Drosophila melanogaster: one gene and its partners. The protein of the gene in region 2 interacts with the protein of the main gene of each other region in a pairwise test. Each region holds a gene or a part of one and is shown on either strand. Other genes may lie near its edges. The genes, in order: dod, CG8281, insb and CG14074.

Region 1 (3,876 bases), on a different chromosome or scaffold from region 2:
TTTGAAACGGAGGACGATTCGCAGTCGGGGATTGTGTACGTGTGGATAGGCAGCAAGGCCTGCAACGAAGAGGCCAAACTGGTGCAGGATATTGCCGAGCAGATGTTCAACTCGCCGTGGGTGAGCTTACAGGTGGGTTCCATGTGTTAATGTGGTTCAACCATGTAGTGGGCTGTTTTGTGGAATATATTGTACATATGTTTATATTAAGGTACACGCTCTTGTTAATCGTTTCTTTTCATCCATCCTTTGCAGATTCTCAACGAGGGCGACGAGCCGGAGAACTTCTTCTGGGTGGCGCTGGGCGGCCGCAAGCCTTACGATACGGACGCCGAGTACATGAACTACACGCGGCTGTTCCGGTGCTCCAACGAGCGCGGCTACTACACGGTGGCCGAGAAGTGCGCCGACTTTTGCCAGGACGATCTGGCCGACGACGATATCATGATCCTGGACAACGGCGAGCACGTCTTCCTGTGGATGGGACCGCGTTGCAGCGAGGTGGAGGTGAAGCTGGCCTACAAGTCCGCCCAGGTCTACATCCAGCACATGCGGATCAAGCAGCCGGAGCGGCCGAGGAAGCTCTTCCTCACGATGAAGAACAAGGAGTCGCGCCGTTTCACCAAGTGCTTCCACGGCTGGAGCGCCTTCAAGGTGTATTTATAATTTTAGCCAACTGAAGGAGCATCGTCGAGTAGTTCTTTTAAATTTCCCTAATTCATGCACCGCCGCTATGTGGCCATTTAGGTCTCCGCAAGGAAAGCGCCTAAAAGGCGCTAGTTTTTGTCTTGCTTGTCTCGATTGGCGCCTTCGAGTCCCTGTCAGAGCTAGTGAATCGGCCTCGGGAAGTGCATTTATTAACCAGAAGTCGAAGAGCACGCCTGCAATGTGAGTTTAGTTTTATGAAATGAATAGAGGCACCTTAGAGGTGTTACCCACTAATCTTAGCCCGTTAGAGGAGCCCCATCGAGTTGTAAATTGGTCATTAAGCATTAAGTTAGACCTCTGTTAGCCGGATGCGAATGTTGTTCGCTGGGAAGATGCGCTGGGCAGCTGCCGTGACAGAGTAGCTGCCCCAGAAGACATGACAAAGCAAAATTGTATCGAGGGAAAAAGAATGAAAGGGCCAAGCCAAGCCCTTCCTTCAGGTCGTGAGTGAAGATCGTGTGTTTGTACTTTTATAAAATGTATTTAATTGTTTTGTATAATTAATTTAAATTTTTTTATTAGCTCACTTGCTCCCGCCCCTAACTAAATAATTAGCTAACTCCAAGAACGCCAAGTATTCGCCCACTCCCTGCGAGAAAACCACATGAGTATATTGAATGCAAATATACATACATATGTATGTATATCACATATGCCTACAAATACGCAATATATATATATATATATATATATACATACGCTGAGCTGAGAGGATTACTCCCCTGTGCTAGTCCTTTTAAAATGTTAACCTACTTAAAGCTAGCCTGTAATAAAGTCAAGGAAGCACTAAAACTAATTGTACAAATGCCCACGTATTTATTTTATTTTTATTAATCCCCTGAATAAACATTAGAAAAATTGAAATTCCTCTATTCGTGTCGCGGATTGAAGGAGGTATTGGAATAGATTTAATTAAGTTATGTGCTAATTTTTCGGCAAAAGATACATATAACATATCAGAATAGCACATATCAGCACATTATTGTTAGTTCGCTGCTATTATATTGGCCTCAGCTGTATCTGCGGTTAGCGAGTGCACCCACCGCAGTTAGCACGTGCCAGCACCTTATTTGGCGAATTCGCCACCATGTGTATCGATATGTCGATGGCAGGCGCTATCGATTTTGATGGATGTTCTCAAAGCGTGTTCGGCGCGGTCACACTGGTGGTTTATTTTATTCCGAAAACTATTTGTAATTTAACTCAAATTAAGTGAAAACAGCATGCCAGATGCCGAGCAACTACCGGACGGCTGGGAGAAGCGCACTAGCCGCTCCACAGGTAAGCATCGTGTGCAGTCCCGCTCGTGCCATGCCGGCGGTTTTCCGGCGGAATGCGGAACCGGCACGCTAAACTGAACCTGCACTTGATTGATCATGATTGATTTTGCAGGAATGAGCTATTATCTCAATATGTACACAAAGGAGTCGCAGTGGGATCAGCCCACAGAGCCGGCGAAGAAGGCGGGCGGAGGATCCGCCGGCGGCGGAGATGCACCGGACGAGGTGCATTGCCTGCATCTGCTGGTTAAGCACAAGGGCAGTCGGCGTCCCAGCTCGTGGCGCGAGGCGAACATCACGCGCACCAAGGAGGAGGCCCAGCTGCTCCTCGAGGTCTATCGCAACAAAATCGTCCAGCAGGAGGCCACATTCGACGAGCTGGCCCGCTCCTACTCCGACTGCAGCTCCGCCAAGAGGGGCGGCGACCTGGGAAAGTTCGGCAGAGGTATGTATATCTCCCCACTGTGCATTTGTCACACGTCCAGGATCGAGTGGTCCTCGATGTGTGTCCGTTTAGGAATAAGGCGCTTCCCACTTGAGGCGCAATCCAGAAACAGATTGGTACTTCCACTAGAGGCTCTGATTGTTTTCAATATTCAAGAGAAGAGAAGAGAAGATATATCGACCACTAATAGATTATAGATGCATAGTTATAGACAAACACTATTTGCAATTGGCTCCGCGGCATTTCTTTTTTAATCTTCCTTACCTTACACATTTTTGTACCTATAACTTCGCGAGCTACTTGCAATCGTAGAGTTTAGGCCACCCAACCGACCTGCAACTGCTTCTAATTACATTTCACATCTCACAGGTCAGATGCAGGCGGCTTTCGAGGACGCTGCCTTCAAATTGAACGTCAACCAGCTGTCGGGCATCGTCGACAGCGACTCCGGCCTGCACATCATCCTGCGCAAGGCATAGACTCATCGAGCACCGACCCACAGCACAACTCGCGTCCCTTCACATGAATAAAACGGAATGCCCAGCCATTTCAATATAGAATTATTTATTGTATTTTAAAATGTTAGGTCTTGTCTAGGCTAGAAGCGTTTCTCATTTGCCAATGTCCAGTTTGGCGGCCAGTAGCTTGGCTCCGGGCGTCTTACGGTCCGCGAGTATCTGGCTAAGGCTCCTCTCCGCCGCGATGGCTTTCTTGCAGTCGTCCAGCAGTGCGGGACACTCCTCCACCAGCTTGAGCAGGACAAAACAGGCCCGGTTGACGCCCAGCCAGGCTTTCAGCTGAAAAGGGAAAGGGAATCGCAATTAGGAATTGGAATCTGAGTGAAGCTGTTTACTTTGCGACTACTTATTTATTAGACTAAAGCTAAAGGAATGTCGAAACGTCATTAAATAAAAGAAAAAACTCAAAAGTACGATGCGTTTCTCATGACTGGGAAAAAGGAAGATACCCTCGGTTACCGGATGGCATGATTTTTGGGTACTTACCACATCGGAGGACAAGTTTTGGAGTAGCTGTTGGCTGAACGGGGTGCCCTCTCGCTTGCCATCGTTCTTGAGTATCTTCTTCAATACAATGTGCATGCCGGCCTCCTCGATTCCGGAGACCAACGGAGCCGCCGGCTCCTCCTCCTTTGCCTTTGGCTTTTTGGGCTCCTTTTTGGCTTTCTTCACCTTGGGTTCGGCATCATCTGCGGCCGCCTCCTTCTGCTCCTTCTCGTCTCCTTCATCGTCGCTCTCCTCATCTTCATCTTCATCTTCATCTTCGTCGTCGCTGCTGCTCTCGACATAAAGCAGTTTTCTGCGCTGTTTGGTGGCCTGGGCTATAATGGCCTCCACGTCATTGTGAGGCTTCTTCTTATCCTGCGGCTGCGGACCGGCGGCGTCTGCTGAAATGCGCCACTCCGGTTGGACGACGACTTGGGCA
Region 2 (3,397 bases):
CGGAGGTGGGTGACCTGCGCCTGCTCTTCAGCTTCGCGGGAATGGAGGGCGAGGTGTTCAGCGTGGTGGGCAAGCTGTCGGGCAACAAACTGGTGCCGTACATAACCTCCCGTGGCGTTCCAGTGCTGCTCGTCTATCCGGGTGGGCTCAGTGTCCAGGAAGTGTTCCGGTTGGAGGCTCGTGCCCAGGTCTTGCACACCTGGTGGTGGCGCTTCGTCGGCTGGCTGCTGATCTTCTTCGGCGTCACCTGCAACACCAAAATCCTTCGTCTGCTGTGTGAGTCCTGTATTTTCTAAAAAAATTGATCTCTTGTACTAAATGGTTATATCTCCTCCAGTTGTACGGGTGCCGCTATTGGTGGCCTTGGCACCCGATCCTCAGTTCCCGGTTACGGGCAACCTACTCATCGCATTTTCGCTAGCTCTGACCATTGCGGCAGTCGCCTGGATCCTGCATCGTCCTGTGATCGGCGCCTGCCTCTTACTGGCTGGCGCATCGCCTTACGTCTGGTTCACCCGCAATCTGGTCGACTACCATCGCCTGGACTAATCCATTTCAGAGTCATCTCAATATTATTTACAGGTTTATTTATTGTTGATTTTCATTGTTGAGCCAAATTGATCGCATTTGCCATTTATCCCTCGGCCAATAAAAACTTAACACTTAGTAACTAAACTAAAGTTAGAACTCCCTGATGCCCGCACTGGTGGTGGTGCTGCCCGGTGGCCCACCTCCTCCCCCGCTTCCGCTCGCTCCCGACACATTGGGCTTGGATTCGCTGGAGGTGTGCACACTGGGGCTCTGTGATTTGTCCTGCTCCTCGTGACCATTTGGCGTTTCTTCGTAGCGAACGTAGGGTTCGAAGCTGTTGTTGATTTGCACAGATCCGCGATGCAGATTGTTGGACTCGGCCTCGAAGAGAATCTCGTTGATGAAACGTTCGGCCAGAAGACGCTGCTCGCGCGGCAGTCGCTTCAGTTTGTGCGTCCAGGTGCGGGCGATGGACTCCTCCTCCGGATATGTGCCAGCCAAATACTCGCAGGCTATGTTGAGTAGTTCGTCGGTGTTGTGGGCGGTGCCTGTTGCCCCAGGACCGCCAGTAGATCCGGCTCCTGCTCCCGTACATGGCGGCGTTTGCCTGGCTCGCTTGCTGCTCCCATAATCCACATGGTTGGTTGCTGGCGGTGGCGGTGGCGGAGCTCCAAATGATTTGTGAAACATCTCGGAAATGTTGGGCGTCTGACCACCAGCGCGTGGTGCTGGATAATGGAGGGCTGCTCCCTGGCTCTCCAGAAACGCACTCGGGCAATTGCTGCTCTCACCGAAGGCGAAGTTGGGCTCGTTCTTAAAGGCGGGATTGACGGCTAGAAACTTCTCCGAGTTGCGCAGAAAGTCCAGCTCCTGAAAGGTCCAGCAGCGTGGACTGTGGAGGCTGCCCGATCGCAGGGCACTCTCCACCACCTTCAGCTCCTTGCGGTAGTTCGTGCGCAGTGTGTTGATCTTCTTTTTCACATCCTCCACGGTGGCGTCCCGCTTGAGATAATGGTATATGGGCACCAGGCGCAAATAGGCCTCCGCCCGCTTCTCCCGATTGGTGTAGTCCCGCAGCGATGTGTCCCACAGCACGGGCAGATCCCTGTATGTCTGGATGAAGGCGCGCAGATAGTGTCGGTTCTCCTCCGCTCCCGACATCACCTTCAATCCGTGCGGCGGCGTTTGTGGCAGCATTTTGCGCGGATCTCTGGATTACCCTCTGCCAATCCACGCCAGCTGCAGTCCTTGGCTATCTTCACCACTTCAGCGAATCCTGGATGGACCTATTGACCAACTGTCAATGCGAACGAACTGTGTTTGTTGTAATTGCGCGTTTGACAGATTGTTTGCCATATTGACGTAATGGTTGTGTGCGAGTGTGCGTGAGCGTGAAGATACAGCAACAAGTGCGGACGTAGTGGCAATGCTTGTCACTGGTATCGATACTTCGCCAGCAGTATTTATCGGTCAACTCGTTGTTATCAAGCGCGTATATTTAAACAAAGTAGCACAAAAGCAAGTAGTTTTAGGCATTCATTTATTAAATATATGAGCAAGCATACATAAAATTAACTGTAGCTTATATAGCTTGCATGAAAAATATGATTGGAGGCTACAACTGCAACAATAGTAGGATATTACCAAATTTAATTTATCGACAGGCCAAAAACAACTTAAACGAAGAAAACAGTTCTAATTGATTGTTAATATAGTGCAGCTTACAACTATTTTATAGCCATAGTCGTTTAATTTAGTTATATAGCATTACAGGGAATACCTTCAACCCCTTGCAAGTGTGACCATTATTTAGCGCCGATTGATTCTGGTATTTCGTTCATCACATTTGCGCGTATTTCTTGGCGCCCCCGCGACGGTTACACTGCGCGGCACACTACAGCGAAAAAAATTCGAAACAGACGCGTTTGTCCGTTGAGTTTTGATTTGTGATTCCGACGCGCAGCCGTTGAGCGCAATTCGCTTACATTGTTGATCATTTTGTTGGTTAAATTGCTAAAGCAGGTACGCGGTATCGCTAACAAGAGGACGAAGAACCGGGCGACGCTGCCTATGCGCGTCTGTGTGTGTGTGTTTTCGTGAGCCGCCGCTTTTTAATTAAATAATAAATAAATTGTAACAAAAAGTAGAAAAACAAACAAACATGGAAATGATGCGCGCTAAATGCATGAAAACAGCGTCCAGTTAATGAAAGTAAACGAATCGAGTACAAACGAATTATTTGTCTCCTTGTGCGTTCGTTCTATTGTGTTTCGAGTTCTGTTGGTGTGTGTTTTTGTGTATGTTCCACGAGTTGTTCGCCTTAAAAAAGTAACTGCAGAAGATCCATGGAAATGGAGACCATTGAAGAGCAATCGAAGTGCGGTGAGTACTGAAAGAGGGCGCGGGGCGTGGCAGCTCCAAATGGCCGGCGAATTTATCATTTTTCAATGTCGCCCAAAGGGGTTGGGTACGGGGTAAAACCACATTCGGGGCCAAAAGATCCTCATAAAAAATGTCGCTGCCAGCAAATGCAAAAAAATAAAATGAAATAACAACGACTATAAGTACATCTTTGTGTGTATTTGTGTGACTAAAAAAGCAACGGCATCGTGTCGCAGATATTTTAATCTTTTTTTCTGAATTTATTTCGGTGTAGAAAATATTTATCGCATAAATGCGAAATGCCTCCCTCTCTTCATCATCGTTTCCCCTCACTCTCCCTCTCTTCGGCGACACTGTACCGACAGCAAGAACAACAACAACAACTGAGGCGCCCTAACTGTTGTGAGAGTAAAAAGAAAGGACAAGCAACAACAATTTAAGCGATCAGTTCCTGTTATCATTGATGCGAATTCAGCCGTTTTTA
Region 3 (3,276 bases), on a different chromosome or scaffold from region 2:
TGTCCAAAAACCTTAAGAAACATTTACTTACATACAACCATGTGAAACGTTAAATTGTTAAAAACAATTAAAATCTAGTTTTAATGAAATATCAGTAATACAGATAATACAAAGGAATTACAACCATTTATTACAAATAATTATCGTTGTTACAAATTATACAGATAACTAATATGAAATTATAACAAATGCTACTTTAGGGCGATTCCCCAAGCCCCCAGATAATTTATGATACCAAGTTAATGAAATAACCGAACAACAAAAACACCCCGCCCTAACAACAATAAGAATATATACACTTATATGATATACATACCTACAAAATGAATTCAAAGAAATAATATATGGCGATTGAGTTATTCTCATTAATTATTATATGTAAAATTAAATAACACAAGTAATAACTAAATGAATAAATAAATATATTTAAAATGTATCGAAAATCGATGTAGTAGAGTGTTTTTTTATTCCCAGCTAGGATGGAACCCCCCAATCTTAATTAAAACCTCTTCCTTTATGTTTTACTTTCAATATACATAATTTATTTCGTTGTTGCTTATGTGTTTTATATTGCTTTACAATAATTGACTAGAGTAAATAGCTTAGGAATACCCAGATCCCTGTGTTGCATAATTTCCACCCCCGGAAAGTTCGCAACCCTTGGTTTCTCTCTCTCGTTTTACTTGCAATGAGATCGCAGCAAAGTGACTAGAATGAGGAGGAGTTCCTGCCCTCCGGTTTGCTCTCAGGCGTGCAGAAGTCCATCGCTTTGCCCAACCAATTTCCCAAGGAGAGTCTGGTAGAGTGGCGACTCCGTGGGTATTCCCTCGCTCTGCAGAAACAGCAATGTTTCTCTGGCACACATGGCAAAACCCAGTGCCTCCGCCTGACTCCTTTGGGCTGGCGTCGGTGGCGCAAACTGGGCCGCCACCTCGGCATCCTCGTCACTTTCCTCAACATCCTCCGCTTCAGCTCCGGCAGCCGCATAGCCATCTCGATCGTTTAGATCCTGCTCAAAGGCATCCAGCTCCGCTTGCAGCTCCATTATTTTTTGCAGCGCTTCCAGAAGGATTCGATTGGGGGCATCTGGCGGGTTGGGGCAATTCTGCCCTGGCTCTTCTGCTGGTGGAGTTAGAGGACGATGGCGTTTCTCCGGAACCGCTTCAGTCGGTTGCTGCTCCTGTTGCTGTTCCTGCGGCTGGACACGTTGCTCCTGCGCCTGCTGCTGCTCCTCCTGGCTGGCTCGCTTGCGCTTCATGATCAGTTTGCCCGACATGCTTAGAGGATGATCTACTAGACTTAAGCTGCAATCGTTTGGTTTTCCAACTCGCTCCTGCGCGACACAACCTTCGTTCACCTGGCGATCGCCACGACTGAGCTGCGACCAACTGCACCCCGGCGACCAACTGGCAACTGCCGACTCCAACCCCAAAATGCGGCAGGGACCAGAGATAGTGGCATTAGGGGATGTGCCGCGCCAAGGAAATTAAAAACAACAATCCATCGGCAACCAAAAAAAAAAAAATTGTTGCAGCTGTTTGAGTTGCGGCAGCTGAAGCGGGAGGGCAACAGGATACTGGCTACAGGCCACAGCCTGAACGGCAGCAGCAGGATATTGCAACCCTCAGCTGGCGCTGCCTCTCTCTCTACCTCTCTCTCTCTCTCTCTCTATCTCTCTCTCTCTCTCTCTTTCTCTGCCGCTGCAGCAGCCGCGCTCCGAATATCCTCCCTTCCTCCGTGCATCCGTCCTGCACCCCATCCCCCCGGGATCACAGGCGCGCCCTGCTCGTCCTTTCCGACCTTTCAGTTGTTGTTGTCCCGTGTCCGTTTCCTTTCGGTGCGGCATAGCCGATTCCCAAGTTACCTTCCTATGTCCTTTTTTTTAATAGGGTTGCATTGAAGGGTGTGTGCGAAAATAAAGCATTTTAATCAAATTTTCTTTTTTTTACATTTTAAAGCAGACATAAATAAATTATCAATACCTTACAATCTTGGGTAATCAAGTTTTGAGCGTATAAATTTTCATGAATTTTTTTTGAATGTATAAGTTGTCAATTTAATGACGAATTAACTTAATTGCTACAAATAAACGAATCTGGACTTTTAATTCAGTTGATTTCAAATGAGTTTCGATCTGGTTTTAGCGAACAACGACCGATATATGTAATTGCTTAAATTGCTTTTCTTGGCAAAACGTGCACTGCTGACGCACTTAAAGAATAAGTTATTCAGGTTAGACAGTTAAGCTATTTAGGTAATATTTAACGTATCCGTTAAGCATTGTATTCTACCAATAAGCTACCTAAAATTTTGTTTGTGAACTTTGATCACTTGAACTTTGATCACGATGCTTCTTTACGAATATAGATTTTCGTATTTGCATACAAAATTCGTTTAATGTGCATATTTGTAGGAGATTCCCCAGTGCGGTATGCCCGACCATGATAAGCATTTGCAGCTGGCACGCTTCACATTCATCTCTTCGATCGGCACTTCCCCTGCGAGTTAGTTTGACCTGCCACTGCAATGATAAGTGCACACCTAAAAGCACTGCGAGAAATTTTCGAATTTCGTTGTCATGGAAATTGGTATGCGGTATGAGTTAGTTTGAACGAAATCACGTTTACCTCCGTTGGCATGGAGAACCAATTCTTATCGGCTTTATTGCCGATTGTTAACGTAGTAAAGGTGGAGTGGTCCCAAAATGCTAATCGATAATGCTGTCAAAATTTGGAATGAACATAATTCGCTTTATGGTTTATGTCCGCGCATTGTGTAATCATGACCATAATTTAAAATAAAGGGATTTATATTTTGGGTTTGTTGGAAGGGGGAAGGGGGGAGTGCTGAAATATAAGATGACACCATAAATGAAGAATCTCCTGTCCCAAGAAAAAAAAAAAGAAACAATCTCATTGATAGCAATAAATGTTTATTTATGGTCAAGGAAATTGGGCATTATTCGATTTATTTGGGGCTGCGAATTTGACACTATCTCAGCGAATTGTTGTTTCGCAATTTCGGAAGGGGCATTTAAATAATCACGCCCAGACGTCAAGTCTGTGAACTTATGATATGGATGGATTGGATATTTGCATTTAGTATGTCGGCAATGGTGTGTGTACACATTATTTACTTGATAAGCACTTGATGTTGTTAAGGGCGTATCAAAATTGAATCATATATATTATTTTTATCTCATTTTTATCGTACACTTGACATTGTGTAATATTGCGTGCTGGTTTTCCTCTCCCCATTTCAGTTAAACTTGGCCGA
Region 4 (3,659 bases), about 11 Mb from region 2:
CCAGGCCCTCCTGGATCGCACTGCTAAGCTTCTTTTTCAGGTTCCCGAACATCTTGCGACAACGGATCTCTATTTATTTAACTTAGCGATTTCTAATTGTCTTCGCGCTGGCGTTTTCCATCGAAAATTGAGTGGTAAATAAAGAATCAGCTGTTCGGGCAGGTGCTGAGAGAAAATCGGTCATAGAGAGAGAGAGAGAGCAACAGTTTGTTGCCGTACACGAGAGGCATATCAACTATGGCAAGAGCTCTGGCACGTGGTTTTTATTACTTACTAAAACTAATAAGTATTATTAACATTTCAAATTTTGCATTTTTATTTTATAATTTAAATAAAAAAATGAACCCAAAGTTGATATTATAAACAGACACAACAGGGTATCATTCGGTGGTATATTTAGTATATTACTATTAAACATAACTTAAAAAAAAACCAACCAAATATGAATCTATCTATGGCAGAGCTTATATCTGTAATAATAATATAAAAACAATATTCTTAGTTTGGTTCAACTTCAGTTTGTTTCCTTTAAAATTTCATTCTGATCTTACATAACGATTCTCTAACTAAAGTTTAGCCTAATTAATCCTCGGTCAGGTCCACTGTAGTGACAGCTGTGCTATCGTCCACTTGTTGATTTGTGCTATCCGATTGAGACGGATATTCAGGTTCAGACGCAGGTTCAGTTTCACATGCCTTTTTTTTGGGCTCTTCATGGTACTCAATTATCTCAATATCACTATTATCACCAGATTCTAGGGTTATACAGCTGCGTACGCTGTTCTTTGCTTCTGAATCTGAGTCCGAGCTTGATTTATTGCCGCTGGACTCGGAGCTCGAGCTTACTTTAATGGTGAGAACATTTGGCTCTTCGTCGCTGGATGAAATGGACAGGGCCTCGGGCTTCTCGGATTTGTCCACCTCTTCGTCGGACATAAGTTCCCGGAATATATCGCTTATAGGAGAGGAGGAGTGTTCCTTAGACTCGCTGGCTTTCTTTTGGCTGCTCGGGTTTAGTAATTGACCATAGGCCATGGCCACTGCAAGAGCCATTTGCTTGGAGTGGTTTAGGAACACATCTGAAGGCGGGGGTATACGTAACGACTCGCTGGGTGCGGATTCCCAATCGCAACCGCTGCTGCTCTGGCTGCTTCTTCGTCTTCTGTGTGATTTTTTGTGTTTTTTAACCTTCTTTTTGCGCTTTTTTCGCCGATGTGAACTGCTGCGACTTCGACTGCGGCTTGAACTTCTGCTGCTCCTAGTTCTTCTTCGGCTGCGATGCTTCTTGGCCTTTTTGTGGCGGCTCCTGCTGCGCCTTCTGCTGGAACTTCTGCTTCTATCAACACTTTGAGTTCTGGGTGCATCGCGGCTGTAAAAGTAGTTGGACTTCCTCCTTTCGTGCACATCATCCAGATCCTGCAGCTTCTGTCGGCAATTTGCCTGTGTGCGCTCCTTTTCTCTATCATTATGCCGAATCGCGGTGTTTATGGTGCGGCCTAAGAAGCGTTTGTTTAGTTTGCCCAGAGGATTCACTTTGCGTTCGCTTTGTTTCGAGGTGCTGACACTGGCATTTGCACCTTCGATCTCGCGCATTAGCTCGGCAATCGCCTGACTAACGTGAGAGCATCAAATTAATTAAAAATATATCGGATTGTAATATAAATATTTACTTTGTTAGGTCTGCGTCCATTTCCATTTTTTGTGTTTGTTTATGGCATTTAATTGAATACCAATTGCTGCGAAACAAAAAATACCGCGGACGGTAAGTGCTACTTATAAGTATTTTTAAAATACTAAGTATAAAGCGATTATTGTATGTGCGTTAAATTAGCGTCGATGAGTTCGCGGCGATGACGGAACGGTGGAAATCAAAACATGGGGACGTTTTTTATTTATTTATTTCTTTTCGTTATTTGGAGGTGAATTGCAAAAAATAAAATAAAGATCTTACTAACTATTCCCACATTTTCGGGAATTTCTCCACTCGTAGAGCGTGACCACTTTTAAGGACATTTCTTTAGGGAAACGGCGGGGCAGACGTCAAGACATTCGTTGGGCCACGGGTGACAGTCGGTCGGGCGGGGCAGCAGGTGGGACAGTAAGCGTGGGGAGCCAAGTTTTCAAGTGCATATTTCATATACTTTCTTGAGTCCTATGAACTTAAGTCGTACATAGGTAGTTAGATATTTTTTTAAACGTTATTGCATTTTTTTGAATTCAATAATGAAAGAATAAATTATTCAAAATTCCATCGTTCCTCCGTTCCTCCTACACTAGCGATATTCTTGTCGATTAATATTGTCAGAGTAATCTTTTCTGCAAAATACCACAAATTAGTCCAACGATATCGATTGGCACAATCATCGATTAAAGTTTAAAAAATGACGACCGGCCGCAATAAATTGAATTTCTAGTTGGTTAAAGTAACGTTTATTGAAGAAGATCACATAATCGAGTACGACTAATATCACAGGTGAATCACAATCTTTATGTTTCAGATTCCTGGCCAACTATTTCCTGCCGTCTATCACTTTCTGCATCCAGGACACGTATTTACTGACGCGCGTGTAGATTCCGGGCAAACCTGGACGTGCACAGCCGATCCCCGTGGACACCACGCCCACCAGATGATGCTCCTTGGACATCAGCGGACCGCCAGAATCCGCCTGTGAAGGTAAGTAAACCCGGAGCATAACATGTGTGCCGTATCAGCCAAGTGAATACTCACCCAACACGAGTCGATTTGACCGTTTTCATAACCGGCACACAACTGTGTCTCTCCAATGGTATTGCTCTTGCCCAAGGATCGGTAGGACCTCTCGCACGCCTCGTTGTTCCAGATCTTAACGGTAGCCTTGCGCAGTACATCGGATCGATCGTTTTCCGCTTGGTTCTCGTGCGTCCAGCCCCAACCGGAAACTGTTCCGTACTCCTGCTCCAGACTTCGGTGCCCCTCCTCGGATCCCACGCAGCTGGGCTGGATGTGTGAAGAGAATCGGATTGGCTGTACCAGCTCCAGGAGGGCTGTAAAAGAATAAAATACCAATTTGCAATAGCTTAAGGAATACTAAGAATAATAAGTATTATTTGATTCGTCTCTGATTCATTATGGTTAATGTTAATATCCTTTGTTGAAACTATTTCCTACCTATGTATTTCTGTTTGTTTTTTTAAAACCTAAGCGCATATTTTTAATGGTGTTTTACTAGATTAAAATTTTTTATTCATTTTACTGAAAAATAATGTCATGTTAATGTCATATTGTTGATTTATGATTCAGTTCTGTACATATGGAAAATAATTGAACCTGCAATTACCCCTTAAAAAACACACATACCTATATCGTGTTTCACATCGTTGCAGTCGTATTGCGGATGGGGCACAATGTTCTTGAAGTCCACCCTCAGTGCATCCGGACCGTTGCCAATCCCGTTGAGGTACTCCCTGATGCTATGCAAACCCACAACTCCTTGGATTTGAGCTGGTTTCATGAACTGCTGCAGCCCATTGCAGATGCAATGTCCCGCCGTGAGGATCCATCGCTCCGAGATGATAGTGCCGCCACAAAAGTGACCACCACGACGCATCAGACTGACCATGTAGGGCATTTCGTTGCGCTCCGCCTCACTACCTCCCACGATTTTTGGATTTCGAACCGA

Evidence for each region.
Region 1: the proteins of CG8281 (region 2) and dod interact in a two-hybrid assay, tested with the Drosophila melanogaster proteins (one large-scale study listed by BioGRID).
Region 3: the proteins of CG8281 (region 2) and insb interact in a two-hybrid assay, tested with the Drosophila melanogaster proteins (one large-scale study listed by BioGRID).
Region 4: the proteins of CG8281 (region 2) and CG14074 interact in a two-hybrid assay, tested with the Drosophila melanogaster proteins (one large-scale study listed by BioGRID).

Annotation. Positions count from the first base shown.
Region 1 is NC_004354.4:21,343,520-21,347,395, forward strand, and holds dod (dodo), read left to right. Parts: upstream 1-1,838; 5' UTR 1,839-1,931; coding exon 1,932-1,989; intron 1,990-2,100; coding exon 2,101-2,433; intron 2,434-2,802; coding exon 2,803-2,912; 3' UTR 2,913-3,044; coding exon of another isoform or gene 3,045-3,230; 3' UTR 3,231-3,339; downstream 3,340-3,876. Other genes in the region: fliI (flightless I), read left to right, coding at 1-132, 256-666; peng (penguin), read right to left, coding at 3,045-3,230, 3,438-3,876.
Region 2 is NT_037436.4:7,910,938-7,914,334, reverse strand, and holds CG8281 (uncharacterized protein), read right to left. Parts: upstream 1,873-3,397; 5' UTR 1,729-1,872; coding exon 682-1,728; 3' UTR 572-681; downstream 1-571. Other genes in the region: Tmem43 (transmembrane protein 43), read left to right, coding at 1-276, 338-549; pbl (pebble), read left to right, coding at 2,877-2,913.
Region 3 is NT_033778.4:17,474,691-17,477,966, forward strand, and holds insb (insensible), read right to left. Parts: upstream 1,583-3,276; 5' UTR 1,277-1,582; coding exon 746-1,276; 3' UTR 524-745; downstream 1-523.
Region 4 is NT_037436.4:18,864,273-18,867,931, reverse strand, and holds CG14074 (uncharacterized protein), read right to left. Parts: upstream 1,708-3,659; 5' UTR 1,671-1,707; intron 1,613-1,670; 5' UTR 1,594-1,612; coding exon 583-1,593; 3' UTR 501-582; downstream 1-500. Other genes in the region: Dysb (dysbindin), read right to left, coding at 1-52; CG6865 (uncharacterized protein), read right to left, coding at 2,511-2,666, 2,729-3,024, 3,338-3,659.